Lonchura striata: one gene and its partners. The protein of the gene in region 1 interacts with the protein of each later gene in a biochemical or structural test. Links are inferred from orthologs where the notes say so. Each region holds a gene or a part of one and is shown on either strand. Other genes may lie near its edges.

Region 1 (7,862 bases):
ACAAAAAATTTCAGTTTTCAAATTTGGCATCATAATTGCACCACGCACATGCTCATCTGACTTTCATGCTTTAATATCCATAGAGCTGAATCAGCACAGAAAATGAACATTCTTGTTGACAAAAACTGCTAGTGACTTGACAGGGATATATTTTTCATCTAGATCAAATAGTAGTTTTGCTGAGGAAAAAGAAGGAGGTACACTCTATATGCATACTAATAAATAACCTGTAGTGGTTTTCAGAGATTCTGTTGCTTAGGTCTGTGAAAAAAGCATAAAGAATTTTATGTTGTCAGGATTATTCTTGTAAAATAGCTCTTATTTTCTGGAAGGATTTCAAGAGAAGAGAAAAATCTTTAACTGAAAGAAAACTATGTTGTTTCTATGAAGATAAAAAAGTGCCAAACAATGACATGCTATACAAAATCCTGAAGACCAGAAGATTTTGTGGGGGACTTCAGTCTATTTATCTTGGTGTAAGTTACTGAAGTGTTCTATGCTCTTGTGAATCCCACATGACTGTGCAATGAAAACTTAGCATATCATTATTCAACAAAGCACTCCAGGTTTTCACTGGGAATCATATGTAGTACTAAACTCAAGGCTTTCCAACTCCCTACACAAAGCTGCAACAACTTAAAATGGATTGATGCAGGGACTCGGCATTTTGCTCCGTGACTTAGAACTGAGATTAAAAGCACTTCTAATTCAAAGGAAATGTGGATTAGCTTGGGAATTGTTTAAGTGAAAATGTCAGAGAAGCTGTTGAAGAAATAATGGGAGATGAAGAATTGGCCAAGTTGGAATATGAAGAAAGTTACCTTTTATCTAGTATTTCTTAAAAACTAACTGCTGCCTAACACACTGACCTTGGCTTCACTCCAGATGTGAAAGGGGGTTGCCTACCTATTCTTCCTAACAGGAGACATAATGGTCACAGATGCATCAGCAAGGAAACACAGCACTGCTAAGGCTGTAACTGTGACCTAGTCATCCTCACTGAAGAGGAGAAGCCCACAGCTACACAGAAGGGCCTGATGATCTTTGGAATTTGAAACAGATAAAGTGGAACCCAATGGCATCCCCAAACCTGTTTTTTTCCACTGTCTTCTAATGGCACTTGGCAAATTCAGCATTTTTTGTTGTTGTTGTTGTTGTTGTTCTGTTAAAAAAAAAAAGGCCAATGGAACAATCTTGTTTTGTCCACTTTCTCCTGTGATCTTATTCTTTCTGGTATCCACTGAATCAAAAGGGTCCTCAATAAGGTGAGTTTTGCTCAGATTAAAGAAGGATTTGTCTGCAAGCTTGATTTACAATAATTAAAGGAAAAACAAGTTGGACAGGATGCTGAAAATTGAGGCCTGGTAATACATGCAAACAGGGAGAAGCTGAAGCTGTTGTTGTTCATCTTAGTGCTTTGTTTTCCAGCAGCATAAGCTGAAGTGCTCCAAACAGGAACTAATAGTAATCTATTGGATGGATTAGATGGATATCTTGCTTTTGTTGAAGTTTTTTTTTTTTCTCTCCTAAAATGGAAAATATTTTTGGAAAACATTTCCATCTTGTTTCCCCCTTTCCTCTCAGATATATGAAGCATCTTGTATGGAATGCTGCTTGGTGTCCACGATGTTTGGTTGCTCCACCTGTCTTGAAGGCAGGTAGAATAGCATGCTCCAAATATAAAACTGGTTGGTCTCGGGCAAGCAGAACTGAAAAACCAGCACTGATGTACAAGTAACCTCTGTAAACCTTTAAACTAAAAGGCTGGGCTGCTTTTCACTCAAATCCCCAAGGGGCACTGCTGTAACAGGCAAACAAGGCAACCTCCATTCTTGGCTGGACCATCCATTCCTATGTTGGACCATCAGGAAGTAGCTGAAATGGACTGGTGAATCCAGCCTTTGGAGGCTGTTGATCACTTGGTCACACATGGCTCTGGAACACCATATTTGAAAAAACAAAATTTAAAGACAGGTTCAAGACAGCTGGTCTGCTCTCAGTATTTTTGTGCAAACTGTTTATTACCAGGCCACATCTACTGAGGTATTTTGCATAATAAACCTCTAAAAGTCTAACCTGACTCCACTGCTGTGGAGGATTAGACATGGTAATACTTCTCTACAGCCACTTCTGAGGATTAGCTTCAAAAATCAAATTAAAATGAAGCAAACACAAATAGTTCCACAATAAGTTGCAACACCCTTATTCAGTAACCATCATCTGCACCTCTTGCGTTTTATATTACCATATGAGGAATCTATGCAAAAGAATATACATACTGTGTGTGGTAAAGCTGAAAAACTCTGCATGGGCAGATCAACATATTAAGATTTTGAGGCCTTGTTTGCCCACACATTCCTAGTGAAGTAAAAAAACTATTTGGTTTTATTTATTTCCAAATACTGAGGAGAAAATACATGATTTTTACCTCACAATTTGAGGAAAAGGAGGTGAGAGTGGAAAGCATAATGTTCTCCAAGCAGAACTGTGTGCTTGTGACTTGCAGAACAGGTCACAGAACTGTGACTGCATGTCTTGTTTTTCATTCCGACACAAGCCATAATTTTTTTTTTCTCAAAGGTCAGTATTTAAATGTGCAGATTTGTTTTTTAAAAATGACCAGCAAGTGCAATGAAGTGTTTGCCTAAACAAGTATACTAAACTAAAATTTGCAAATCTGTTTCTGAGCAATGGCTATAAACAAGACCTATCCAGTAAATTTGAAATTCTCTTTGGGGTCAAATGCTAATAGACATTGAATTTAACACGTAAGAAAACTTGATTTACCAGATTAACAATTCCAGTTGTCTTAAATTAGCAGGGGAAATTACACACTGCCAACAGTATGTTTATGCTGTTCTTAATTTCTTTCATTATACAGAAAACGTGAATCACAAGTCTGATCAAAAATGTTAATATAAAGTCATATTAGAGGTCATTAATCTCAAATAATAATTACAAAATGTAAAACTGGAATACTGCCAAGTATCTAAATCTCCTGAGATGACAAACCATAATGAAGCTCAGAAAGTTTGTGAGCAATTTACAAGGCAGAGCATCATGTCTGTGGTGCAAAGATAGACACGCTGGTGATTTGGAGCCGTTTAATAGCATCCGTAATCCAAAACTGGAACAGCAAGGTGTTCTTCAGCAATATTCTTGACTAAGATGATAAGAATGAAAATCAAATCATTTGTAATTACACTTACTGAACATGCTGTTCAGTACAATTAAAAGAATAAGCAAAAAATGAAGACTACATAAGGAAGCTGCTAGGATTGGTTTAGCAGATCATAGCAAGATAACTGGACTTTAGAAGTACAAGGTATTGTTTACTCTTTTGCTTGCAAATATCAGTTTTAAAAAACAATGGCAGTTCTACAACTGTGCTATTTTTAATAATAATAAAAAACCTCCACTGCTCTCCTAATTCACTGCTGCCTGTTGTCAAGCTTCATACTGAAAATGTTGTTACACAGTAAGCTTTTCTGAATATACTGCCTTCTCCAGACCAATAATAATTAGTATCCTAGACAGCAAGACAACTAACACTATGGCACTAAAACGAACACAAATGGAGCCCAGTGCCATTATGTGGACATCCCCCTGGACGTCAAATGTCATGTTTGTCACTTATACATTCCATCCTTACAGAAGAAGGGCAGTCAGGCAATCTTGCTCTTGTTTCACGGAAATGGAGTAGGAGTCCTTCCCCTTGTAGAGAACAATGTATAAACCTGCACCATTTATTACGGTGCAAAAAAAAACCCACGTGGCTGAGAGTGATCTGTTGGCACATGCTGCACAAAATAAAAAGCCTCCAAGGAGCTGAAGTGCTACAGAGGGTACTATTGTATATAAAACAATTGTATCTCATCCTCTAGAACTACCTAAAAGATTGTCATGAGCTGCGGGTCAGTCTCTTCTAGACTGCCTGCTGTGAGGGGACTAGAGGAAATGCATTAAGGTGAGACAGGGTAGTTTCAAATTAGGTATTAATTTTTCTCAATGTTTAGGTGGTAAAGCATTGGAACAGGTTGTCCGGGAAGGTGGTAGAGTCACCATTCCTAGAGATGCTTAAGAGGTGTCTGTTAACTGGCACTGAGTGGTAAGGTTTAGGGGGTAATGCCACGTGATGGTTGGGCTTTATGATTTTAAAGGTCACTTCCAATTTTGATGATTATATGAATATATGATGCATCTGGCCCTTGGACTGACAATCCACGTCACCATTATCTTCCCTTTGGTGATGTTTTGTCCCCTGTACTGAGACACTTGGTTGGACGTCCTCGTGTATGCCGATACGCCACTAAAAGGAAGCGTCCAGGCCCCTTACCCCCACACCAGGCCTCCGCTCTTCCGGGGCAAGAGCAGAGCTTCAGCTTCGTCACTCGCACCGCAGCGAACGCTGCAAACCCCATGGCTCGGGGGCTCCCTCCCTGCTCCGTGCCCCGGCGCTGCCGGCCGGCCGTGCCTGTGGGAGCGGCTCCTTCCCGGGCCGGGCGGGCGGTGACCCCTCCGCGGCGCCGGCCGGCGGCTGACGCGCGGAGGAACACCGCGCCGCCGCGTCAGCGGGCGCACCTAGATCCGGCCGCTGCCGCCATTTCGCGGGGAGGCGGCCGGGGCGGACCCGCCGCTAGCGGTGCGCGCCCGCCACCGAGCCCCGCGCCCGCCGAGCTCCGGAGCCGCCGCGACCCCGGCAGCCGCGGGCAGGAAGAGGCGCACAGCGCTCCCGAGGCGGCGGCGCCCACGGGCAGCCCCAGAACCTTCCTTCCCCTGCCCCGCCCGTTCGCCCTTGGGCCCGCCCTCGGCCCCGCCCCCCGGAGCCGTTGGCGGCGGCGTGCCGGGCCCGGCCCCGCCTCCCTCCCTCCCGCGGCGTCCGGGCCTGGCCAGCGGCGGCAGCGCGGGGCTCTCCTGCCCTTCCTCTCTCGCTCTTCCCTGGGCGGGTGACGCCTCTCGGCTCTCCCCGCACTTCGCACCCTCTCCCGGCCGTGACGGGAGGCGGCGGGCGGAGCGCTCCCCCGGCAGCCTCACGGCCCCGCTGCCCGCAGGCAGGCAGGACTTGGGCGGCCGGCCGGTCGGGCGCCCCCCCGGCTGTTTCCGGAGGAAGGAGAAGAGCAGCTGCCCCCTCCCCCCTCTCCGCCTTCCTCCCGGTTCTCCTCCTCCTCCTCCTTCTCCTCCTCCTCCCTCCTCCCGGCCCCCCGAGCGGAGCGCGGAGTCACCGCGGCGCGTAGACGGGCCCGGCACTCGCACACACACAATGGCGCTGAAACGCATCAACAAGGTGAGTGAGCACCGCGGCTCCTCCTCCTCCGCCGTCCCCCCCCTTCACCGCTTCGCCCTTCTTTTTATTGTTATTTTTGGGGTGTTTTATCTTCTCCTTCTCCCATCGCTTTCCTCCCCCTCTCGCCCCTGGAGTCTCGGGCGGGGGGGGGTGGAGGGGAGAGGCGGAGGCTGAAGAGGCCGGGCAGCGGCGGCTCCTTCCGGCGGGGCCGCGGCCCGGCTGGGGCTGCGGGGCCGCTCTCTCCGGGCCCGAGCTCGGCCCCGGCCCCTTCCTGAGGGCGGGGGCCGGGGAGGTCGGAGAGAGGCAGCTCCCGGGGCCGCTCGGATGTCAGCGCAGCCCGGGGTCGCTGCCGGTGCCCTTAGGCCGAAGCCGGCCCGGATGGCGGCAGCCCGTGTGTGCCGAGAGGTTTGGGTGCGATGGAGGCGCTGCCCGGGCAGCAGCTGGGCCCCTCGGCCGGGTTCTCCCCTCTAGTGTGCAACTTCTCTCCCGCATTGTAAGATGGCGGCGGGTCCGCCTGGCCCGGGCGCTTTCCGGGATCCCTCGCGTTCCGCAATAACGCGGAACTGACACACGGAGCAGCCACCGCGGCGCTGCCCTCGCCCTGCAGCCGCCCCTCTCTGCCGCCCCGGGGCTCTCCGGGCACCCGGGAATCCATCGCCTGTCCGGGAATCGCTTCTCCCCGCGACCGGCCGGGAGCGCGCTGCGCGCCGCCGCCTCCCCCCGTTGCACAATCGGAGCCGGGTGGAGCAACTTCGCGGCGGCTAACTCGGAAAAAATGCCGAGGTGATGAAAGTTTGGTTTTCTTTTTTGTGTGTGGGGGGGGTTGTTTTTTAAGATACCTCTCCCAGGGCTAGAAAGCTCCCGGCGTGAAGTTGCCCCTAAGTGGGTTTAGGTTTTGTCGGCAGGTTTGAGAATTGCTGGGATGTAATGGCAAAATGCGATGGGTGCGCAGCGGCGGAACCGGGAAGTCGCTGTTGGTCTGTGCTCCTTCTTACGCGAGCTACGTGGAGCAGTTACGTGTTTCAAGAGCTCAGAGGAGTTTCTTGGTCATCTCATAGCCTGCCAAGATGGCAGAACGTCAGTGTGTCCTGAAATCGGTGAATTTCAGTGTACAAAACGCCTTTTGTAGACAGTGTGTAAACTTCATGCCGCCTCTTGGTCTCGCTTTAATTTCACACAGTGCTTGTGGTCGTATTTTAGACAAAACAAGCGTTTTTTATAACGTTTTTAGTGAATGGATAGTACTGTTACCCTCGAAAATTTTAAATCCCTTCTGTGTAGATAGCTGAATGGATTGTCTTTGAATTATGGCTGTGCTCTGGCAAGGATTTCAAAACAATTCCTTTAGAATCTGCCATCAAAACTTGTTCCCTGTGTTAGTGGATGATAGCACTTGAGTTGAAACACAGCTAGGATACTCCCTGGTATGCTTTGTCATCAGCTCATGCTTATGAAACACGTTCAGGCACTGCAGGTAGGAATTTATTGTCAAATGTAAACCAAGACAAACCCCCACTTATGTAGTAATCTGGTGGTCAGAACCTGGAAACGATTCAGCGTGACTCTTGAGCCAGTAAGTCATCTCTGACTATAGCGTTTTGGCCTGTTGTGTACACTTTTGTATTGGTCCTTAATCTCCATTGCGCTGTGTAGTAGCAAGGTTCTTCCTTTATCCAGTGCAAGAGTTTACGGTTGGGAACATAGCTGAGCTAGGGTTTTTTAGGGCAAGAGTTTAGGATTGGGAAGATAGTTAGCTCTGTTAGTTTTTAATTTTTGCCTCCTTTTTTTGTATGTGTTTGTTTGGGGTTTTTATCAGTTTAATCACACCACATTACAAGATAGACTTCTAAATTCACGTGGAGTTTGTAGTTCTGATTTTTGTATTTGCAAACCTGGAAGATGACCTTAATTTGTGGAATGAAGCCAATCTTTGCATGTTGCTTTCTTCCTCTATTGGTTTCCAGTATAAATGTTTACAGAGGCTGCTGCTGACATAAAAAAAAAAACAGTAGGGCCAGTTCTATAACAAAATGGTTGTGAATGTAATTTTAATCCTGTCAACCAGTAAAATCCAGAGAGAGCGGTGTTGTCACTGATAAACTAGGATTCCCTGTCTTCCAATTGTAAGATCACAGATCAAACCTTGGAATTCTCTGCTTCCTTGTAGTATGTCTTTATCAGTAGATGAGAACAGGCTAAAGATAAACCAGGACCTCAGAACATTGTAATCACCATAGCTGATTTAGTTTGTGCTATTACTTGTCAGAACTAGAATTCATTGTCTCCTGCAGCAGATGACATCCTGAATGTACCAGTGAAGATATTTTCAGTCAGTTTGGTTGACTCCCTCTTTGTGGACTTGACATATCAAGCAAAATAACATTTTTCATTATATTGAGTAAACTAGACTTGAGACTCTGTTAGAGTGTGTGTGTGTGTATCTTTAATTTGAAGTCTGTTACACATTCAGAATGCAACCACTCGTAAGACATAACTGGCAAATTCTACTTCTGATTTGAAAATGAATGTAAATTAGTATTTATGTATTGGGTTGTCTACTTCTGGAACACCCTGTATA
Region 2 (7,207 bases), on another chromosome or scaffold:
AAGCTGTTAAGATAAATTTCGCAGAAAACTAGTGCAATTCTGGAATTTAGCTAATTTAAATTATACTGCCTATATTTTAATCAAAAACAAGGATTTACACCTCCTGCTAGAAGTATCATCAGAAGCCATGACACCTGGATTTTAAAAATTATTTGCAACAAACAGCCAAACCTTTGCTAAAGAATAAACTTTTTAAATAAATATATAACACAGATACACTGTAAACTAAATAAAAACTTACTAGAAGTATGCCACCGCTGTGGTTTTTCTCTGTTGTGGAACCCAGACCTAAATAAACTGTTAAACACTTAGTGTAAAGGTATGCCAAACATTTCTCAGAACTTTCTTAAGGTCTCAACAAAGAGTCAACCTTTTTTGCAAAATGAGGCCTAGGTTAAATATTTTATTTGGCTCCTCAAGATGGACTGAGAAGTTGGGCACTAGCTCCAGATCAGTTCTTGGACTCACATCAAACATTACCCTGTCATTTATCCAGTCAGTCAAAACAATGTTTTCCATCTAAACCTTTAATGTTTATGTCCTGAAAAACTGCTAATTGAATCCAGTTCTTGAAATCTATTTTTTAATCTATACCATTTAATTTAGAGATACTGAACAGAAAAGATAAGCGTTGAACAATGATTGCAGAATTAATCCCATAAACATTCAAGCCAAAACAGAAGACTGCTAGTTTCATAGAGCCAAAGAAAATTAAGATTAAATAGCATTTGTCAGTTTGAGAATAAACTTTTAGAAACACTGGATATACAGATTCTTTTAATTCCAAACAGTTTTAGAACTCAAGAGCCCCCAAACTGCTTTTCCAATCAAAAAGAATAATCAAAACCACACAGAACACTTACAACTATTCCTAGGCAAGAACTGACAACATGTCAGCTGAATTAATAAAATTCATTGTTTTCCTTAAACATGTAAAGCTTCCTTACAACAAATGACCTTAGGTGAAACAACTCCCCATTAGCTAAAGCAGAAAATACCTCAAGCTGTTCAGCTGGAGACACAGGCCAATGTTTCCTATAAGCTTCCAATAATGGAACTGGTACTCAGTGCCTGCCAGAGCTGCTAGCCCTGGAACAGTCCTAAAAAGACACTTTTGCCTTCATCCCATACTCTGCACTTTCCCTTCCCAAAATACAAGATGCCCAAAAAACACAAAAACATTCCTTAGGGTTGTACCTGCTGCATTTGGGGGCTGACCACAGTGCGTAAAACCACAGCGTGCTTCTGGTCACAATCACACTCCCCTCACCACACTGAGATTGTCACAGGCACAGTTTCATTATATGCTTATTCCTCAATAAAAATAAAATATGAAATGAATTTGAACACAAAACACAGAGGTGAGAAAGACAAGTCCCTAGACAGTATTTTCCATTATTTTAAATAAGGTTACAGACCATTTTTTATGTTTCAAAGATAAGCAAGTCTGAGCACTCACTGCTCAGGGAAAGAAAGTATTAAAGCACTGCATCAATACAGCAATAACCTGAGGAGAAAGCTACAAAACACTCAGTAAAAACAAGGCAGCACTGTTCCATGCAGCAGTCCCAGCTACGCTCATTTTAGGAGTTTTATTTCCAAGTGTAATATAGAGACACTCACGAATCTCCATGAAAACTAGATAACAAATCTAGTCCAAGTTATTCCAAAGTAAAACAGAAGCAGATACATTTTACTTTTTCTGTGAAAATAACATACTTGGAAAGATCAGTATGAAAACACCTCTCTTTATTAGGTATTAAACTGGAGATATTTCTCACACACCTTAAGTAAATATAACAACTCTTCTAATATTTAAAAAAATATTTCTTTTGCAAGCTGCTTAGAAACACTATATAAAGGTGGATATTTACAGTGAAAAGCTATACTCTTCTAATTGCTTACCTTTGTGTACTGATGCTTCAGGACACACAGTGTCATTTATGTGCTGGAGGACTTAACAATACTTTGAAGAAAAGAGCTAGATTCAAGTGTCCTGAATTTTTTTAAAGAAAGCTCAAGCAGAATTTCCAGTATTTTTTTTCCTCTAAACCTGTTTACGTGGGGTTTTATATGGAAAAGGGCATAATTTTAAGTATTTAAGACCAGATTCTTTTCCTTCCCAGCATGCAGGTGAACCGTTTTTATGGTATTTTAAAATATCAGAGGTCAAGTGGTCTGGAGTAGGGCAGGACAAGGCAGTTCACCCAAGAACTGTGAACAATCACAGAATATGCTGAGTTGGAAGGGACCCACCAGGATGATCGAGCCCAGCTCCTGGCCCTGCACAGGACACCCCAAAATCCCTCCCTGTCCCTGAGAATGTTGACCAAAGGCTCCCTGAGCTCTGCCAGCCTTGGGGCTCTGAGCACTGCCCTGGGAGCCTCTCCAGTGCCCAACAGCCTTAGCCGAGGAAATCGCTTAAAAACCCCAACAAAACAACAACAATAAACAAACAACGAGATCGAAACAAAAAGCGTGGCAGTTTCTTTCGAGTTTACACCGAGAAGACGAAGGGAAAATACACTGCAAGGCTGGGGCGCGGTGGCTGAAGTTCCCCCAGGCGGCTGCGGGGCCCGGGCCGGGCGGGCGGCGGAGCCCGGACACGCCGAGCCCGGGGCCGAGGGGAACGGACGGCAGGGAAACCTCGCCCTCCCCTTCCCTGCGAGGCCCGAGGGGCCGCTCCGGCCCCAGGCTCAGCCCCAACGACACCCGGAGGAGCCGCTGCCGCCCCCCGCCCGGGCTGGCCCGCGGCCCCGGCCCAGCCTCACCTGTCAGCCGCAGCTTGACGGGCCCGTTCCGCCGGGCCCCCGGGTTGGACATGGCCCCGGCCGCGGCACCCCGCCGCCGCTCCGCAAGGGCTCGGGGGAGGCGCGAATGGAGCCGGGCCGGGCGCTCAGGGCAGCGGCGGCCGCCGAAGGAGGAGGAGAAGGAGAGGCCCGGATGTGCCCAGCGTCGCCATGAGCGGGGCCGGGGCCGCGGAGGAGGAGCGGAGCCTTCCCCGCTTCCCTCCGCTTCCCTCCGCTTCCCCGCCCCCGGGCCCGAGCACAACAAAGCCGGGACGGAGCCGCACGGACGGGCGGGCTGGCGGCGAGCTCGGCTCCTCTGCTCTCCCTCCGTCCCTCCCTCCTGCCCCGGGGAGGCCCTGCCCGCCCCCCGCGCCCCGCCTCGGGTCAGCCTCGGGGGAACGGCGGCAGGTGGCGGCGGCGGCCGGGCGCTGCTGGCCGGGAGGCCGGCGGGATGGCCTGTCCCGGGAGAGCGGGGCTCGGCAAGGATGGGGGAATGGCCGTGTCCCGGGAGAGCGGGATGGACCTGTCCCGGGAGAGCGGGATGGACCTGTCCCGGGAGAGCGGGGAATGGCCGTGTCCCGGGAGAGCGGGATGGACCTGTCCCGGGAGAGCGGGATGGCCGTGTCCCGGGAGAGCGGGGGATGGACCTGTCCCGGGAGAGCGGGATGGACCTGTCCCGGGAGAGCGGGATGGACCTGTCCCGGGAGAGCGGGATGGCCGTGTCCCGGGAGAGCGGGGGATGGACCTGTCCCGGGAGAGCGGGGGATGGACCTGTCCCGGGAGAGCGGGATGGACCTGTCCTGGGAGAGCGGGATGGCCGTGTCCCGGGAGAGCGGGGGATGGACCTGTCCCGGGAGAGCGGGATGGCCTGTCCCGGGAGAGCGGGATGGACCTGTCCCGGGAGAGCGGGGGATGGACCTGTCCCGGGAGAGCGGGGGATGGACCTGTCCCGGGAGAGCGGGGGATGGACCTGTCCCGGGAGAGCGGGGGATGGACCTGTCCCGGGAGAGCGGGATGGACCTGTCCCGGGAGAGCGGGGGATGGACCTGTCCCGGGAGAGCGGGGGATGGACCTGTCCCGGGAGAGCGGGATGGACCTGTCCCGGGAGAGCGGGATGGCCGTGTCCCGGGAGAGCGGGATGGACCTGTCCCGGGAGAGCGGGGGATGGACCTGTCCCGGGAGAGCGGGGCTCGGGAAGGATGGGGGGATGGCCGTGTCCTGGGAGGGCTGGAAATGGGGAAGGATGTGGGGAATGGCTGTGCCTGAGGGGAAGTAGGGGACTGGGAAGGATGTGGACAGTGGCCATGGCCTGGGAGAGCTGGGGATCGGGAAGAATGTGGGTGAATAGCCAAGGTGGGGAGGAGAGGGTGGCAGAGAAGCTGTGTAGGGAGTTGGGACAGGAAAACCGAGGGTACAAATGGGAAAAGACATGGCAGGAGAATTCAGAGGCAGGCTGAAATGGGTGGTCCCACGCAGGAGTGCTGCCGATCCATGACAATATTCCTCATGGACAGGGTGTGACAGACCAGCCCTGGAAACTGTTAAACTTTGGACCAATTTGGTTCTTATCTGCACTGTGTAGAAATCAGCAGTTGAGCTCTGTGAACTGCCATGTGCAGAATAATAATATTTTTTTTTTTTTAAAGCCTTGCATCCATGCCGTGTTGCCTAATTTAACTCCCACCCTGTGGGAAAGGTGACCCTTTCCAGAGTTTTCCCAGCTCTGCAACACACTTCCCATGAGGAGACCTCCATCAGAGTAATAGGCAGCTTTCTGCAGGGCCAGAGGGGCCTCAAGGGTGAGACAAGCTCCCAGGAAAGCTATGAACGTTACCACAGTCTAGATTACTTTAGAAGTTTAAGCTAATACATCACACACCTACTCTTACTAACAACCTTACTAAGACTCTACTCGTTTGGTCATGTCACTGCTCTGGCTTCTTCCTGCTGAGGTAACCTGTGAAGTATTATCATGTGGGTAGTCAGAGGTGAGGATCCAGCTATGGATCCCCAGCATTGGATGAGAAGATGACCTGTGCTTCACTGAGTTCATCCTGTGGCTCCTACACAGCCCAGGAGGTTTTCTCTGCAGTCGCTTGGAGCTGAGCTGTAACCATGTCTTGAATGGTCCCATCCTGACAGAGCTCAGAGTCTGAGCCTCGTTAATTCAAACCTGGGGTGTGCGACTGATTTTTTTTTTCCACTGAAGGCCTTGAAGTGCAATGTGGTTCTTAAAGCTTTCCATCCATAAAAAGTGACCTCTCCTATGCTGTACGTGGGGATTGACTTCCTATTCCTCCCAAAGTGTCTGAAGTGCAAGGTGGAGATTTCCAGTGCTTCCTGCAGTGGTGGCACTGCTGTTCCAGTGTCACTTCAGCAGGGAACAGAGGAATCCTGGGGTCCCTTCTTTGGCCAGGGCTGTGCCTGTCCCCTGTGCCATCAGCTGTTTAACACAAAACTAGCAAATGTTAGACACCAACCTCTTTCACAGCACAGGCAGAGCACAAGATAAAGCATAAAACATCTTTCCAGTGCTTTGCCACTGGTTAAAAAGAAGAGAATTTGAAACAATTAAAGTCTAAGCAGCATTTACTACAAAACATGGACAATACACCTATGGATTTTATGACTTTACATTGCACTGAAACAGTTAAGAAGTTATTTTGTAATGGTTATGTAAATTCATGCACACCCCAAAGACATTCCAGGTGTCCTGATTCTTGCATTAAAAAAAAAAAAAAGAGGAAGAAAATTAAACATTTATAATTGAAGGTCATACTATTAAATTTTCAGTCTGTTACAAATTCACATACTCTTTTCTCAAACCAAGTATATAATGCAACTGGCTGTTTGGATCACAACTACACTGCCTCTTTTGTTGAGCTTGTAATGAGGAATCATTGATGGTTTGCAAATATTGCAACATTAACTGGCCACTGCTAAACTGAACAGGAAAAAAAAAAAAAAAAAACAAAACTACTTTTCACATACTTAACATATTTCTAAATTTTTCCTAACATGATGATTATTCATTTCTGGGGTCTTGCAGTGCACTTTGGACCTAACATTCAATAATTCTGATATAATTTGACAAAAGTGCCTAATGTTATATTAAATACAGAATTCTTTCTACATGATCTTTTTCTAATGGATAACTAGTATGTCAGACATTAATTGAAATGCCAATATTTAAAAAACCCTTTGGGATTAAATATACTTTCATTGTTCAGTAGTTATATGAACATTTAAATTCTTTCATTAAAAGTGTTTTTTAAAGGTCATGAAGCATACTTGGTTTCAAACTGCTTTTCAGAAAGGAACTTGCTGAACTATAAATTTTTCTAAGGTTTTTGGACACACTGCTCACCTTTCAGTGAAAGCATTGTGATATATTGCAAGTGTTAGAGCATTAACTGACACTGCATTTGGGTCAGCATATAAAATGTACAGTCTGCAGGATGGCTGCTACTGCTGTACACTTTTCTTTAATATGTGCCATATTTGATTTTATTTACTTAATTTTTAAACAACCAACATGACTTGAGCACTTTTATAAATACATGCCAAGTGCATCACATGGGACAGTCCTGTATAGTAGGTGTGTATTCAGCAGGGGGAGAAGAAGGGCTCCAGCTCCCATCAGCCTGGCAGGGCTGGGTCCCAGTTGGGTCTTGTCCCTAAGGTGGGGAGAACACCCTGGACCAGGCTGCCCTCGGACACACAGAGGCACCAGATGCCAACTGCTGCACCCTCCTTTCTCAGGGCTGTGCCTTGGCTGTCCCACAGCTGTTTGTGTCCTGTCCTATCTCCCAGTTCTGTTGGGAAATGAGGATTTTCACTCGCTGTTCCCTTCACTGTGTAGAACTGCCAGGAAGGATTTAAACCGAGTATGTTCAAGAGGAACCAGTGCAAGATCTGCAGGCAGATGAAGGGAAGCCAGGCAGAGCACCAGGAACTGCGGTGGTGTAGGGGAGCAAAGATGCTGGCAGTCCCTGGTGGTAGAAAGTGCTGCTTTCCCAACCAAGAAATCCCACTGGAATGTTATGATCCAGAGGTTCCTGAGCCAGTACCATCCCCCAAATTCTCAAAATATTCTCAGATTAACAGAACCGATCTCTCACTGATCCTCCTTTCGCTTTCAGAAGCCAAGATTTTGCAGGAAATTGTATCTTTATACAGTTCCATTTCAGAGGTTTCACTCTGTGCAGGGCTGATCCTGTGAGAGAGACAAGCAAGTATCATCAGCGCTGCTGACAAGAGCCCCATGCTCCAGTGCAGGCTGGTATCACTGAACAACACATCCTTTCAAGATGAGACAGCTCGCTGGGATCCACATCACCCTGCAGATCATTTTGGATGACAGCCTTGCTGCTGGATTTGGGAATCCAATCCAGCCTTCTTCAGCCAGAGCTTCACAG
Region 3 (7,868 bases), on another chromosome or scaffold:
CCCGCAGGCGGAGGACGTGACCTCGCTGGTGTTCTCCGCCCGCCGGCCCAGCACGCTGTACACGTCCCACGGAGAAACCATCAGCGTGCTGGATGTCCGCTCCCTGCAGGAGCCCCTGCAGCGCTTCCAGGTGAACGAGGAGGAGATCAACTGCCTCTCGGTGAACGACGCCGACAGCTTCCTGGCTGCGGCGGATGACTCGGGGGCCATAAAGGTTGTGGACTTGGAAAGCAAGAAAGTCAGCCGGTCCTTGAGGCACTCCAACATCTGCTCGTCTGTTGCCTTCCGACCTCAGCGGCCTCAAAGCCTGGTTTCCTGTGGACTGGACATGCAGGTGATTTGCATACATGTGTACGGCTATTAATGAAGTGAAACAGTAATTACCCACCTATGTAGTGAAGCAGCCGCAGACTTTCACTGAGCACGAAGGTGTTCTCAGCCTGCAGTCACCGGAAAGCTCCCTCGCTATTCTGAAGTATTTTGGCCCAAAACTTAAGTGTTGGGACTGCTTGTGCTATGTTCCACTCAGCAGCTTCTGGCCCTGTTTTTATCTTCTTTAACATTTATAATTCAAAAGTGAGTGGGGTGAGGGGAAATCAGAATACACTGCAAAGCTCACTTGTGCTGTATTTGCTCTTTGTTGGACTGAGCAAAACCAGTAGCTGCCATTAGGGATCAGTTGTGGCTGCAGATAAGATGCAAATGATGGTGAGGAAAAGGCACAGTGTTTGAGGCAGGCAGGTAGAGCAGCATCTTTCCAAGTGGAACATATCACTGTGAGAACAAGTGATTTGTATAATTTATCCGTTGTTCTGTTAGCATCTTGGGAGCATGAAATGTTCTTTGCCTTTTAAATTTTTCTATCCTCATCAAGAGGAAACTTTGCCCCTTGCATTCTGAGACCCATGCTGGGAGTTAAGCCCAGAACAGATATTTTTCAGTAATTTCTTTCCAGTAGTTGAGGTCTGACCACATTCCTGGTTTAGCCCAGTATGAAAACTGTCACTTCTCAAAGGTTTCTGTGGTTCCAGCGGTGTCAGGGTGAAGTCTGTGTGACAGGTTTGAGCAGTTTCAGCCTGTGTTCTTGAAACCAAAGTACATCTCACAACCCATTAGAGCAAGTACATGCTGATATTTAGTATAAACTATTTTTCTGTGTTAAAGCCATGATGATCGATCCTGTTTCAGAGGAGTAAACTCTCAGTCCCTCAGCTGGCTTAATTCTGGTCCCTAAAATGCAGATACACAAGCTTGTGGCTGGAAACTTTTTATCAGAATTGTAAACGTTTATGTACAAGGAGGTACAAGGGAGCTGATTATTTTTTGTGACTTTTTAGTATTAGGTTCATTGATTGTAGCTCAGCAAGTTGTTTTTTTAGGTGAAAGTCAGTATCCCAAAACAGGATTTAATTAGTGTGCTTTTGTACAGTGAAAAGACCATCATTCTGCATTCTGCATTCTGCATTCTGCATTTAAGATACATCATTTCCCAAAGGGGAGCTTAGCTGCAGAACTCTGAAGTCCTGTGCTGCACCATGTCTTTGGACAAGTTATGAGCGCTACAAAACATATTCTGGGCTTGTCAAACCCTCGGGGAAGTCATGTCTGATGAAAATTGAAATTGAGGTTGCTGGAGTTCTTTCAGGAGTTCCAATAAAGCAGAGAAAGTGCCATGAGGACAGAAAATACTTAGTTTGCAGAAAACTCTTCAGCAGTTGATGGATTCATCAGGTTGTTGCCGTGCTGTTTGTGATGAAAACAGGAGTATTTTCTGTAAGCATCACCCAGCTCCTCTGATTTAGAGCAAATCACAGTTGTGGAAGTAGTTTTAGTGCAGCAGCAACAGCAGTAACTGAAACAGGAAAGTGACAGGAAATATATTTCAGATGTTTTAGTGTGATTTGGATTCCGGAAATGCAGAGCCAGGCTTTTTTGTGAACTAAATTTAAAGGCTCTGGTACTTCTTATTGGTGATTACTACTAAAGGAATATTTTTATTAATAACAAATTGAAGCTTAGCTTTATGAAGCAAACAGTACACCAGTGCTGCATTAGAATGACTTGGGCTTTTCAATCTGTTGGCCTTGAGAATTCTCATTGTCAATTCAGATCCTACAAAAGTCTTGAGAGCATTATTTTTAATTGGCTCAGTATAAATATGTAGTGCTTGAACTGCTGTACAAGAGACGTGGGATTCTTCACTGGGGGCTTGGAGGTGGGGTGGCATTGGAAAAGGAAGTCTAAAAGCACAACCTGCCCCATCTCAGTAGGTTAAGCATGCCCTACTCCATAGCACAAACCAGATCTACTCACTGGATATAAAAATAAATACAAATATGCCTGTTTAAAGACCACAGCCTTAACTGCTGTTTTTGCCTTTTGCTGTCCCATTTTTAAGACACATTCATGGCAGTGACTATTACAGGCCAAGTAGCAGAGACAGAAATCCAGAATGATAATGATCTCTATTCACTGCTAGGGTTTCCGTGTCCCTCCTTCTCAATAATTGATGTGCAGTACATCATGATTGCTACTGCTGGAATAAATGCAAAAGCTTTTAGAGCAGTGTTAGCATCTCTTCCATGGTCTAAAGGTGTGAGTCATTGACTGCAGAGTGTGGTGGTGGGGCTTTGGAAAGCAGGCCAGAAAGATTTGCTACATTTATTAGGGCAAGTTTAACCACACGCCTTACAGTTCTTGGAGTCACACACAACCTTTGCTCTGCTAGGAGAAGTGTGGTTGCTTATTTTACCGTTAAAGATCCGATTTGAAGTAAAACACACAAATAATTTCTTTATCCTATTGGTATTTTTTCCAGGTGATGCTGTGGAACCTGCAGAAAGTTCGTCCCTTGTGGACCACAAACCTGCAGGAGTGTGACATGGAGGAGGAGAGCCTGCAGTCAGCCGGGCAGTTCTTCAACCCGCCGCTCGCGCATTCCCTGTCCGTCGCCTCTTGCGGCAACGTCTTCGGCTGTGGAGCTCAGGACGGTAAAGTCCGAATATTCCGAGTCACAGGTGCCAGGTTTGAACGGGAGCTGGAGTTCCAGGCTCACAGCTTGGGAGTCTCACAGGTGCTCTTTATGCCTGAGGCATACCAGTTGTTGTCTGGAGGAAACGATGGGAAAGTCTTGCTCTGGGATGTCAGCAGTAATATTGGGAAGCAGCAAAAAAGTCCAGCAAAATCTCTGCACAGGAGGAAGGCCCAAGCAGCTGCTTCCAGCAGGAAAGATGGGAAGCTCAACAAAGCAGCCTCAAATGAACACCCTGGAGTTGTGCCAAAGCTCAGCATTGAACACGGAGAGAAGGTGAACTGGCTCTTGTTTGCAGAGCTCAAGGGCTCCAGGAGAGTGTTGGTTGCTGACCAGACCAGCTCAGTATCAGCCTATCCATTGCCAGAACCTTAAGGCAGCCAGGGGCTTACAGAAGTCTGGGGGATAAAACCACTTCTCAGAGCCAGTTACTTCCACTGACAGTGAACTGGACAGTGAACCCCTCTGGGTCCTTGGGAAGGGAAAGGGATTTGCTGTGCACTCATGATGTCCCTGGCCTCGTGCTGGTTCCTTGTGGCTGTTATGTTCACAGCTACTCTCTCTTGCAGGGTTGGAATTTTGCTGCTTGGATTTAAGTGAAACGGGTCTCTATATTTAGGGGTAACATTAGTTCATGGCTAAGCTGACGTAATTAAGGCTGGAGGAGAAAATTAGTGCTCAGGAGACACCCACAATGCTAAGTGAGGCTGCTGAACAGTAGCAGGGCTGTCATTGGCTCAGCCCTATGTGGTTTGGGCTGTTGCAGTGCTCTGTGCGAGTTCTCCCATGAAGCTGTGTCCCAGTTGGCTTGAACTGGTCATGGTGGGATCTGGTTTTCATCACTCTGTCAGCAGCTGCATAGACTAGATGCATCAATTAATGAGTAATCAAATGAGTTTCCCTGTGGTTGCCAACTGAGTTTTTTCACTGCAGCAAAAGAAGGAGCAGGGGAACTGTTACACCTGTTTGCTGGGTCAGCTGTCAGTTAGTTGTGTATCCCAGGGAAAAGAACTATTACACTTGGCTTAATAAATGCTTTCTCTCTCACTGTTCCCTTGTCCTTAGAATCACTCTAATAGTGCCAGACTCACACAAAATTGTGTCAAAAAGTTTATTTACCCCGATAGCAGGGTGAATATGAAGGGCCAGAGGCACAGCTTCTCCTTACCCAAATAGTTCCTGTCTTCCTAAAGCTTTGAAACACAATGAGTAGAACTTGGCTTGCTAGAAGCTTCATTTGCAAATTGAAGGTAGGAAAACCTAAGTGGAAATGTTACATCTCCAGACATGTTCAGTTCATGCTCAATTTCCCATGAAGTGAGCAAATAACTCTTTTAAAAGGGTTTTTTTTCCTGGGCTGTCCTTATCCTGTCACAGAACTGAATTCCTAGTACTGGCTGAGGACATGCTGCACTGGTGGTAGGTTTGGGTTTGTGCTGCTGTGTTTACCAACTGGGCTGTTACCAGACTCATACTATATTGGAAAAATTTCCAGTTCTATTTTTTTACATACAAAACTCTGGAAAATCATTATCTGGTTGTGCTGCCTCTGTTCACCCTTTATGGAAGAGATTCCAACTGTCTTGGTTTTGCTCAAAGCAGCTCCCTGCAACCAAACACAACTCATTCTCATCCAAATCAGATTTTACCTTTGTACCTTTTTAATTAAAACAAAAAACAAAGGCAATCTGCTTGTACAGCCTTTCCCAGCAGGAGACTTTGGCCCAAGACATGATCTGGTGGGCGCATCAGCAAATCAAAGCCAAAACACAGCAATAAAAAAAAAAAAAGGCATAAAATTGTACTTGTTCCTTTTTGTGTTACCTGTGCATGAGTTCATGTGTGAAGACATGGGATCAGTGGGGCAGAGGAAGGGGTCGGGTCGGGCTGTGTGGTTCAGTGTGTGACACATCCATGAACGTGTGTTGGTGCATCCATGACCTATATTTGGATATACAGGCTATAAAAAGCCTTGGAACAAACAACCTCCTGCAGGACTCGGATCCCCTGTCCCTGCTGTTGCTGCCGGCTACAGGAGAGAGGAGCGAGCCCGCTCCAGCTTTTATTTCTTCTCTTGGTGTTCTCCAGGAAGATGGCGAAAGCCAGCATCTCCCTGCGCTCCCTGAACGAGACGCTGAACAGGTCCTGCAGGGCTGGGGAGGGACAGGGAGGGCACGGAGGGCTGGGGCATGGGACAGCTAACACGGGACACCAGGCTAACCTGTGCTTCTCTGGAAACTGCTGTGGGCAACTGGCTGTGAACGGACAGCGGGAGGAAAGAGGGACCGAGCCATCAGCTCCACGGTGGTGTTATTCCCTCCCTGCCATCCTGGCAGTTTGGTGCAGGATTTGGGCAGTTGCTCCATCATCCCTGGCCTGCAGCTGCATGAATTGTCACCAGGCAATGAGGGTACTTGGTCTGTTCAGCATGGAGGACACTGAGGGGAGACCTCGTTGAGGTTTACAACTTCTTCATGAGGGGGAAGGAGGGACAGACACTGATCTCTGTGGTGCCCAGTGACAGGACCTGAGGGAATGGCCTTAAGTTGCATAAGGGGAGGTTTTTGTTGGATATTAGAAAAACATTCTTCTCCCAGAGGGTGGTCAGGCACTGAAGAGGCTTCTCAGGGAATGTCACAGCACCAAAGCTCCCAGAGCTTAAGAAGCATTCAGACAATGCTCTCACAGGGTGGGATTGCTGGGGGGTACAGGAGTGCAGGGCCAGGAGTTGGATCCTTGTGAATCCAACTCAGGATATTCTGTGGTTCTGTGAAATTCAGGCTTGCTGTTCTAATTAGAGATTTCAGGTGAACTTCTGATTTTCAGATCATGCCTCAGAGTCTGGAGAGTGGTTATCATGAGCAAAAAAGAACCCCAAGAATGGACCTTTCTTAAAAGTTTTAGGAAAGCAAATCACCATCACTGGGGAATCAGGTCATAGGTGATGCTGATTCACCCTCCATTTCCAAAGCCTGCACTTGGCAGAGGAATGTGACCAACAGGTTCATAGACTTCCTGAAAAATAATCTGGCCTCAGCTGCCCCCGCTGGCACCAGTTCCTGCTCGGCTGTGCAGCAGCAGGCACCAGTGGTGGTGGCTCAGGGCAGATACAAAGATACGAGCATGGATCTTCAGGAAAAACAGTCAAAAAAGGGTCAGAAATTCTCAGCAGTTAGAGGTAGGAAGGATACTGTCCCCACACTCTGGATTTTCACGTTCCTGAAAGGGAGGTGAGGCCCTGGCACAGGCTGCCCAGAGAAGCTGTAGCTTCCCTGGATCCCTGGAAATGCCCAAGGCCAGGTTGGATGGGGTTTGGAGCAACCTGGGATAGTGGAAGGTGTCCCTGCCCATGGCAGGGGGTGGAATGAGTTGGGCTTTAAGGTCCTTCCACTCAACCATTCTGGGATTCTAGGATATTTTACATTTAAAGGCAAACTATGCAGTGTTGAGACTTTTAAAAGTCAAATCAGGTGTCATACATACACCTGTGGTTTACCTGCAGTGAAAAGGATCCCTGTTGAGAGTATCACAGCTGATGGGATGCAGTACTTCTGCTTAGGAAATGAGTGATTATGTGTTGACAGACAGACAGCTGACAGACTTGGAAAGAAACTGCTCTTGTCGAGGTACTGCTCCTAACTGTTAGTTCATCCACAGCCTTTATAACTCTGATTCACATGATGGTGAACACAAAAGTAGCTATTGGAGACCGGACCAGAAGGAGAAACAGTGAAACAACTCCTAAAAGAAAAAAGTGAAAATTAATTCTGTGGGAATCTACTTGAAGAAGTGTGTGTCTAATGTACCATGGAGTGAGTGAATGGGGAAGGCTTGGAGAAGTGTGGGATGCTGCACTGGCCTGGAAAATCAAACCCATGTGACAGCTCTAAAATATCATTTTCTGTAAATGCCTGAATAGCAGAAATAAGGTCTCACAAAGAACCACACTTCCAGAGAAGTGGGAATGCTGGAGCTTCTACTGTATGGCTTCCAAATATGTTCTGTGTGCTAACAAGAGAGGAATTTTAAAAGCTTTCTGGTAAAGAATGGGGATGTGGTTTGTCTGTACACTAGTCAGAGTTAGAGGTCGCTGACTTAGTGGTAACTTCACTTACACTAAAGGAAAAAGTGTTCAGAGGTCATGATGGAAATGAAAATGGGAGGTTTAATCCATTCTTCCTCTTTTCATTCCAAACTTAGATCAAGAGGCAGCAGCACTCAGTCTATCAGAATTCAGTTACAGCTGTGGGAGATCAGTTATGGATCTACCATGGTATAACTGAACAGACATTTTTAGATCCAAAATTGGCAAATGCTTAAATGTTTATTGCAGGTGCTTGAAAACACAGAAGATTAATTTACAGAAAGGCAGTAAAAAATGTTTGAGAGATAAAACTGGTCAAATAGTAAAGCATTGGACTGAAGCCTGCTGAGAAACCACTGCTGCACTGAGAGTAGCATTAGTGATGAGATCTTAGATAACTTTACTCCTACTTGTAGAGGAGGAAGTTGGAGAATGGGCCGTGTGGAAGCTTATTTACCTTGACAAAAAGCTGCAAACCAACAATTCACCGGCAAGAACACTCATTATCTGACAAACCAGCTCTGGAAGTCATTCACAGCAAAGCCCAACTCACCTCACCTCAGTTTCTGCACTTCCTCTCTCAGTGCTGACAGATTCGATCCAATTATGACACATCAATCCTTCGGGTTTTTCTGAACTCCCTACATTTCTACATGACACCAGCTTAGTTTCCAATTAAAAGTTCAATTTTCATCCCAAAATTCTTGCTGAAGCAAGAGGAGTCCTGCCACAGTAAGATGAGCTCCACCAGGC
Region 4 (7,129 bases), on another chromosome or scaffold:
AAAAATAAGAGCTTGACTAGCCAAGGATCACTGGTCAAACAGAATGAAACGCAAAACCAAAAGTAAATAAATAAATAAAATCACACTGATAGAGCAGAACTACAATAGCTCTAAGACAGCCAGTGATAAAGGTAATTCTCTTTATGTCAGGCAATAAGGACCACATGTTATTAGTAGGAAGATTTCAAGTATTTCCACTGCTTTAGGTAATTTTTTTTTTTAGAAAAAAAAGGAAAAAAAAGAAAAAGAGAGAGAAAAAAGGTATCATCAGTCTCAGGTAATGCTACAGAGATATTTTAACCTTTCAGCAAAGCTGTGCGAGGGACATTTGCAGCAAGGATTTGAACCAAGCTGTGCCGTGTGTGAGAACAGGGGTGCAGCTCCACATTAGGGCTGGGACTGAGATGCAATGGGCCAACAAGGGCAGGAGCTTTAATTTAATCTCAATTTCCCAGTGGCCAAACAGCCCCGGGGGAACGCGGCTGCCCCGGGGGCGGCCGGGCGGACACCGGGCCCAGGCAGCGAATAACGAATAATATAAACACTCGATTAGAGAATAACACAAACATAAAGGTACCGCAGGTGATATATATACACCCCTCCTGCTCGGCGCGGCCGCACCTGCGGCCCTGAAGGGAAAGCGCCGCCTCAGAGCGGGCGATGCTGCCGGCCCGCCGCTGTGGGCATGGCCCCACTCCCCCCGCCCGACCTGCAGCCGGATCCCACCCGCTACAAGCACCACCACAAAGGGAAAGGGGAGGCGGTGGGGCCGAGCCGAGCCGAGGCGAGCAGGGCCGAACCGGGCCGGGAGAAGCCGCGTTACCTCAGCGCCGCCGCCGCCGCCGCCCGGCCGCCATCTTAGGGCTGCGCTCCGCCCGCCGCCCTCAGCGCGGCCACGCCCCCGCGCGGCCACGCCCACACAGCACCGCGCCCGCTCATTGGCCACGCCTCGCCGTGACCACGCCCATGTAATACCACGCCCGCTCATTGGCCACGCCCCGCCATGACCACGCCCATGCAATACCACGCCCGCTCATTGGTCGCGCCCCACAGTGACCACGCCCACATAATATCACGCCCATTCCTCGGCCACGCCCACTCCCCGGCCATGACGCGAGCGCCGTGGGCGCTTAATGAGATTAATTAATTAATTAATCAATCAATGAATGACTTAAATTTCTGTTCGTTAATTAGGAATGAATTCCTGGCTGTGAAGGCGGACAGGCCCTGGCACAGCGTGCCCAGAGCAGCCTGGGACAGTGGGAGGTGTCCCCGCGGTGGCAATGAGATAAAGTAAAAATTTAACAAGAAAGAAATCTGGATTTAAGTAAAATGTGTTTTTTAGTCTAGTAACTACAGCACTAGCAAAACTACCTTAACTAAAAAAAAAAAAAATACAGATTTCCACACTAAAAAGATAAGAGACAAGAAAAACTCCTCAAACCTTAAAACAAACAAAACAGAGTGACCCAAGAATTCTTTCTGACAAAAACTAAATACAAGTGTAACTAACTGTAAGTATAACGCAAAATAAATAAAATAAATATACATAAACCTATTATAAGATTCTATGCATATAGAAGTTAGAGTAATAAAAAAAGATCAGGAGTTCTCAGGGGTGCACATGTCCATTAAAGAACAATGAGTCCCCACATGCATCCACAACACTGTGAATAAACACACCGTTCCCCACAAATCTTTATTATAATTGTGGGGTTTTAATCTTTCTCCGCGTTTCAGCATTGGATGGGACTTAAGCTCCTTCCAAAACAAACAATTCTGGGACTCTACAATTTATTGCTTGGCGTCCAGAAAAAAATGAGTAAAGCGCCCCTGTGGCCCTTGGGCGTGCCCTGGCTTGGTGTGACAGTGGCACAAGAGCTGTCGCCCCTCGCTGTTCCCTGTTCTGTGCCGTGGGTCCCTTTCCCCCTCAGGCTGCAGGGCTGGAAGTGCCCCCCATGCCCCGGGGCTGGGGGCGCAGGGCTCCCCCACCGTGGCAAAGCCACCACAGGGACATTTTGGGAGAAGCCAGGGCCACCGACTGCTCAGAGCCCTGCGAAGCCCCGGCAGAGGGAGATTCCTCCCTCAGTGGGCTCTCCGGGGTTAATTGGGAAGGATCCCGGGGGTGATTAGTGCCCGGCTCCTGCCTAAGCTGTCCCAAGCCAATTAGGGGCCAACGAGCCTCTTGTGGGTTCGGAAAGCTGCTTAGGGCATTACAGCCCCTCCGCTCCTGGGAGTCCCCTTCAGCGAGTCCAGCAGCGATTCATGAACCAATGCCATCAGGATAGGGTGCGACCCCCGCGCTGCCCTCCCGGGTGCCCACCAGCCCCGCCGTGCTGCCGGCGCCTCGCTGGCACAGCCCCGAGCGCCGCCCCGGGAACGATCCTGCCCCGTGTGCCCCGCGGCTCCCGGCGCGGCCACCCGCTCCACGCGTGAGCCGGGGCGGAGGGAGCCCAAAACACCCGCGTGGGGAGAGGAGGGGGTCCGTGCCCCCGGCACCGTGTGCTGTGCACCGCGTGTGACACATCCAGGGAGCTGGGCACCCATTTATTCATGTACCTGGTCATCCATTTATACATGTACCTGGGCATCCATTTATCCATGTGCCTCTTCATCCATTTATCCATGTACCTGTGCATCCATTTATCCATGTACCTGTGCATCCATTTATTAATATACCTGTGCATCCATTTATCCATGTACCTGTGCATCCACTTATCCATGTACCTGGTCACCCATTTGTACATGTACCTGGTCATCCATTTATCCATGTACCTGGGTACCCATTTATCCATGTACCTGTGCATCCATTTATCCATGTACCTGGGTACCCATTTATCGATGTACCTGTGCACCCATTTATCCATGTACCTGTGCATCCATTTATCCATGTACCTGGTCACCCATTTATCCATGTACCTGTGCATCCATTTATACATGTACCTGGTCACCCATTTATCCATGTACCTGTGCATCCATTTATACATGTACCTGGTCATCCATTTATACATGTACCTGGTCATCCATTTATACATGTACCTGTGCATCCATTTATCCATGTACCTGGGCATCCATTTATTAATATACCTGTGCATCCATTTATCCATGTACCTGTGCATCCACTTATCCATGTACCTGTGCATCCATTTATCCATGTACCTGTGCATCCACTTATCCATGTACCTGTGCATCCCTGCTCACCTGTGTGCTCACAGACACCTGCACCCCATACCTGCGCACCCAGGTGTCCCCCCACACCCCGTACCCGTGCACCCAGGTGCCCCCTGCACCCCATACCTGTGCAGGTACCCCCTGTACCCCGTACCTGTGCACCCAGGTGCCCCCCCACCCCGGTACCATCTCCTGCCCGCAGTCGCTGTGGGCACCGCCGCTGCCACCCCGTCCCCCCGTGGTGACCCCTGTGCCAGCCGCGCTGGCAGCTCTCCCCGCGGCCAGCGCTGGCCCCTGGCCAGCCCGGCGGGGATCGTGGCCGGGGCTGCTTCCAGCCAGGGCTGTGCTCACCCTCTGCCCCCCCAGCCGTTTCTGGGTCAGCGCTTGAACCCCAGCAGCGGAGCCAGCTGGGTCATGGCTGTGCCAGGGCCGTGCCAGGGCCGTGCCAGGGCAGCCTGAGCAGCCCCCTCTGGGTCTGGGCTCCCGGAGGAGCCCCCCAGCCCGTGCCTGGGGAGGGCACACCCCGCTGCGTGTGCCAGCCATGGGGGCTGCGTCCCTCCAGCGCACGGGGGGAGGCGTTTGCCCCCCAGATTTGCTCCTGTTTTGGGTGGGGAAAGGGACAAACTGTACGAGCCAGCCCTGCTGCGGATTTCTGGAACCGTCGCAATGTCCTCATGACCGCGGGGCTGGCGCTTGCTGCTCCGGGGTCTCGGGACGCGCAGCCGCTTGTTTACCCCGCGGCTCCCGCTCGGGCACGTCCGCGGCACGGGTGGGCAGCGCCTCCTGGACAGCCTGTGCCCATCTTGTTTACCGGCCCTTGCGGTGGCTCAGCACCGTGTGACAGCTGCTGTCCCCTGTCCCGGGACACCCGACACCGAGCCGCGACCGGCAAACGCGTGACGAGGCGGCGGCTTATAAATAGCGGGGCGAGGGGCGCCGGCGGCGAGAGCGCCGGGAGCAGAGCCCTGAGGAGCCCATGGATTTCCAAGGCGGTATCCTGCAGGATGGCAGCCCCATGGAGAGCCTGGAGAAGCAGCTCATCTGCCCCATCTGCCTGGAGATGTTCAGCAAGCCCGTGGTCATCCTGCCCTGCCAGCACAACCTGTGCCGCAAGTGCGCCAACGACGTCTTCCAGGTGAGCGGGGCCCCCGCGCCCGGCCCGGGGGGCACCGGGGTGTTGTGGGGGTACTGATGGACCCCCCGGGCTCATCTTCCCCTCCCAGGCTGCCAACCCGTACTGGCAGAGCCGCGGCAGTCTGATTTCGGGGGGCCGGTTCCGGTGCCCCTCGTGCCGCCACGAGGTGCTGCTGGACCGCCACGGCGTCTACGGGCTGCAGAGGAACCTGCTGGTGGAGAACATCATCGACATCTACAAGCAGGAGTGCTCCAGGTGGGCAGCGCGGCCATGGGCTTACGGGGACGTGGGGACACGGGGATGCCCCAGCCGTGCCCCGGCAGCAGCGCTGAGACCCCCAGAGATCGCACCTGGGGGTCTTCCTGCTCAGCCATCCCCGGTTCAGAGCTTTTCCTGACTCAAATCGCCATCAAAACCTCCCTCCCGTGACTCAAAACTTCCTCCTGCACCCAAAACTTCCTCCCCCAGCCCCATTCTCCCCTCTGCCCCAGCAGTTTGTGCCTCTGGCTGTCCCAGGGGGGTGGCAGGTCCCTGGGGGTGGTGCCAGCCGGGCACGTCCTCTGCCCCTCTTGCTGGAACATTGGCTGGCAGATAAGAGGTGTGGGGAAGGAATCCGGGCTCTGCTGCTGACAGCGGGCACCGGGGCTGATAAGGGGCAGAGGGACGGTTTGGGGGGGGCCCAGTGGGTACAAGGATGAAGCTGGGGGGGACAGAGGGGTCACGGGCTCTCGAGGCAGAGCGGTGGCCCCAGCCAGGTTCCCTGAACCGCTGTAAATATTGTGTGAGAGCCATGGGGACGGGGACGATGGCACGTGGCAGGTGTCCGTGGCTGCTGGGGGGGCCGGGGGGCCAGGCCTGTCCCTGTTTCAGGCTGCTGGCTTGTCCCCACGTCCCTCCCTGCTGTGGATGGGAGGACTGAGCTGCAGCCCCCGTCTGGGACCCCCGGCGGTTTCTGGGTGTCCCCACCCCGGTCACACGATGGGTGACAATAAATCCGGGCAGCACAGGGCTAAAATTAGGCCCTGGTGCAGCTCCTCTGGCTCGCAGCCCCCCCCGTCCCCGGTGCCACCCGCTGCCATGCCCAGCGCCACGGTGGCCTAAACTGGGACCTGCTGGGGTTTGCAGAGGTTGGTGGCTCCCAGAGGAGCAGCTGTGGGGTTGTGCCAGGGTCTGGCGTCTCTCCGATTTCGGGGTGACAGGTGGATGTGTCACCACGGTGGGGGTGATGCTGCAGTGGGGACACCGGGGTGGCGGGGGCCATCAGCCTGGTGCGGGTGTCACCGCGACGGCGATGTCACCGCGGCCGTGCCACCCTCTCCAGCAGGCCGCTGAAGAAGGGGGAGCACCCCATGTGCAAGGAGCACGAGGACGAGCGGATCAACATCTACTGCGTCACCTGCGAGGTCCCCACCTGCTCCATGTGCAAAGTCTTCGGTGCCCACAAGGACTGCGAGGTGGCCCCTCTGCAAAGCGTCTTCCAGGGACAGAAGGTGCCCTGGGGGGGGACCCGGGGGGGCTGCGGGCCATCTGCTGAGCTGGGACAGTGACAAATAACTCCGGGACTGCCTCACGGGGTATTAATAGCCCCCGGGTGACTTCGCCCAGGAGACAGACTATATTTAGAGTGGCTGCTGAGGGATGAGGGGGAGCAGGGCTGGGGACGAGCAATGGCCAGCCCGTCCCCAGGCTGGGATGGGAGAAGTTCCTGCCTCCACAGGAGTTAGAACTCCTTCTCTCTGTCGCTCACCAGACTGAGCTGAACAACTGCATCTCCATGCTGGTGGCGGGGAACGACCGGATCCAGACCATCATCTCCCAGCTGGAGGACTCCTGCCAGAGCACCGAGGTGAGGAAAGGGGGAGAGGCGTCGCTGTCGAGGCAGGACGGGAATGAGAAGACTGATCAGAAGGCTGCTGAGAGTAAAACTCGGATTTATTCAAAATACCCCGCTCTTTTATACAGAGCTTCGCAAGGATCAAATCCATTGGTTCTGAAGTGAAAACAAGCCACGCTATTGGTGTACAGTGCTTGACGCACAGTGATAGAACTTATCTATAAACAATGTGAAAAACAAGAGAGATAAAGAATTATTTACATTCTTTCCCAGCTCTTTCCCAGGCTTCTGCCTGGCTAGAAACTCTCAGTGTCTTTCTTTGACTGAATCTGAGACCCACAGAAAGGAGCCCCCCAAAACCTGACAGTGAAACCTCAGCCGGGCATGGGCGGCAGTGGGGTGGAGCCCGTGGAGCAGGGAAGCCCTGGGGTGTTGCAGGCGCTGGGGGGACGCAGAGGTGGCATCCCTTGTCCCCTGTCCCCGCAGGAGAACAGCGAGGCGGCCAAGCGGGAGCTCTGCGCTCGCTTCGACGCGCTGGCAGCGCTGCTGCAGGAGAAGAAGGCGGAGCTGCTGCAGCGCATCTCCCAGGAGCAGGCGGACAAGACCGCCTTCATCCAGAGCCTCATCTGCCAGTACAAGGAGCAGCTGGAGAAGTCCAGCCGGCTGGTGGAGACCGCCATCCAGGCAGCCGAGGAGACCGGGGGGGCCGCCTTCCTCATGGTGAGACCCCCAAACCTGCCCCGTGGCGTCCCACTGCTGGGGACGACCTGGTGGTTGCTGCTGCTTCACTCACCTCCTCCTCCTCCTCCTTCTTCTCCTCCCCCTTCTCTCCCTCCACAGAACGCCAAGCAGCTGATAAAAACGTAAGTGCTCAAACTGGGGGAATCTCCACGCTCCAGCCCCCACGGGCAGGATTTGGGGAGTGGGCGCTGCCCTGCCCCGCTGCCCCACGGTCCCCGCGGGGGGACAGGGACACGCACACACCGCTG

What was found.
Region 2: the proteins of UBE2D3 (region 1) and SMURF2 form a complex in vitro, tested with the Homo sapiens proteins (12 studies listed by BioGRID). The link is inferred for Lonchura striata from reciprocal best matches to the Homo sapiens genes UBE2D3 and SMURF2.
Region 3: the proteins of UBE2D3 (region 1) and RNF168 form a complex in vitro, tested with the Homo sapiens proteins (5 studies listed by BioGRID). The link is inferred for Lonchura striata from reciprocal best matches to the Homo sapiens genes UBE2D3 and RNF168.
Region 4: the proteins of UBE2D3 (region 1) and TRIM63 form a complex in vitro, tested with the Homo sapiens proteins (5 studies listed by BioGRID). The link is inferred for Lonchura striata from reciprocal best matches to the Homo sapiens genes UBE2D3 and TRIM63.

What each region holds. Positions count from the first base shown.
Region 1 is NC_134606.1:48,603,102-48,610,963, forward strand, and holds the start of UBE2D3 (ubiquitin-conjugating enzyme E2 D3), read left to right. Parts: upstream 1-4,862; 5' UTR 4,863-5,260; coding exon 5,261-5,284; intron 5,285-7,862. UniProt on the Homo sapiens protein: Accepts ubiquitin from the E1 complex and catalyzes its covalent attachment to other proteins. In vitro catalyzes 'Lys-11'-, as well as 'Lys-48'-linked polyubiquitination.
Region 2 is NC_134621.1:8,494,037-8,501,243, forward strand, and holds the start of SMURF2 (E3 ubiquitin-protein ligase SMURF2), read right to left. Parts: upstream 3,014-7,207; 5' UTR 2,824-3,013; coding exon 2,772-2,823; intron 1-2,771. UniProt on the Homo sapiens protein: E3 ubiquitin-protein ligase which accepts ubiquitin from an E2 ubiquitin-conjugating enzyme in the form of a thioester and then directly transfers the ubiquitin to targeted substrates.
Region 3 is NC_134612.1:5,260,414-5,268,281, reverse strand, and holds the start of RNF168 (E3 ubiquitin-protein ligase RNF168), read left to right. Parts: upstream 1-4,858; 5' UTR 4,859-5,173; intron 5,174-7,868. Other genes in the region: WDR53 (WD repeat-containing protein 53), read left to right, coding at 1-334, 2,819-3,406. UniProt on the Homo sapiens protein: E3 ubiquitin-protein ligase required for accumulation of repair proteins to sites of DNA damage. Acts with UBE2N/UBC13 to amplify the RNF8-dependent histone ubiquitination.
Region 4 is NC_134628.1:397,307-404,435, forward strand, and holds the start of TRIM63 (E3 ubiquitin-protein ligase TRIM63), read left to right. Parts: upstream 1-4,128; 5' UTR 4,129-4,147; coding exon 4,148-4,306; intron 4,307-4,394; coding exon 4,395-4,561; intron 4,562-5,627; coding exon 5,628-5,796; intron 5,797-6,056; coding exon 6,057-6,152; intron 6,153-6,626; coding exon 6,627-6,860; intron 6,861-6,980; coding exon 6,981-7,003; intron 7,004-7,129. UniProt on the Homo sapiens protein: E3 ubiquitin ligase. Mediates the ubiquitination and subsequent proteasomal degradation of CKM, GMEB1 and HIBADH.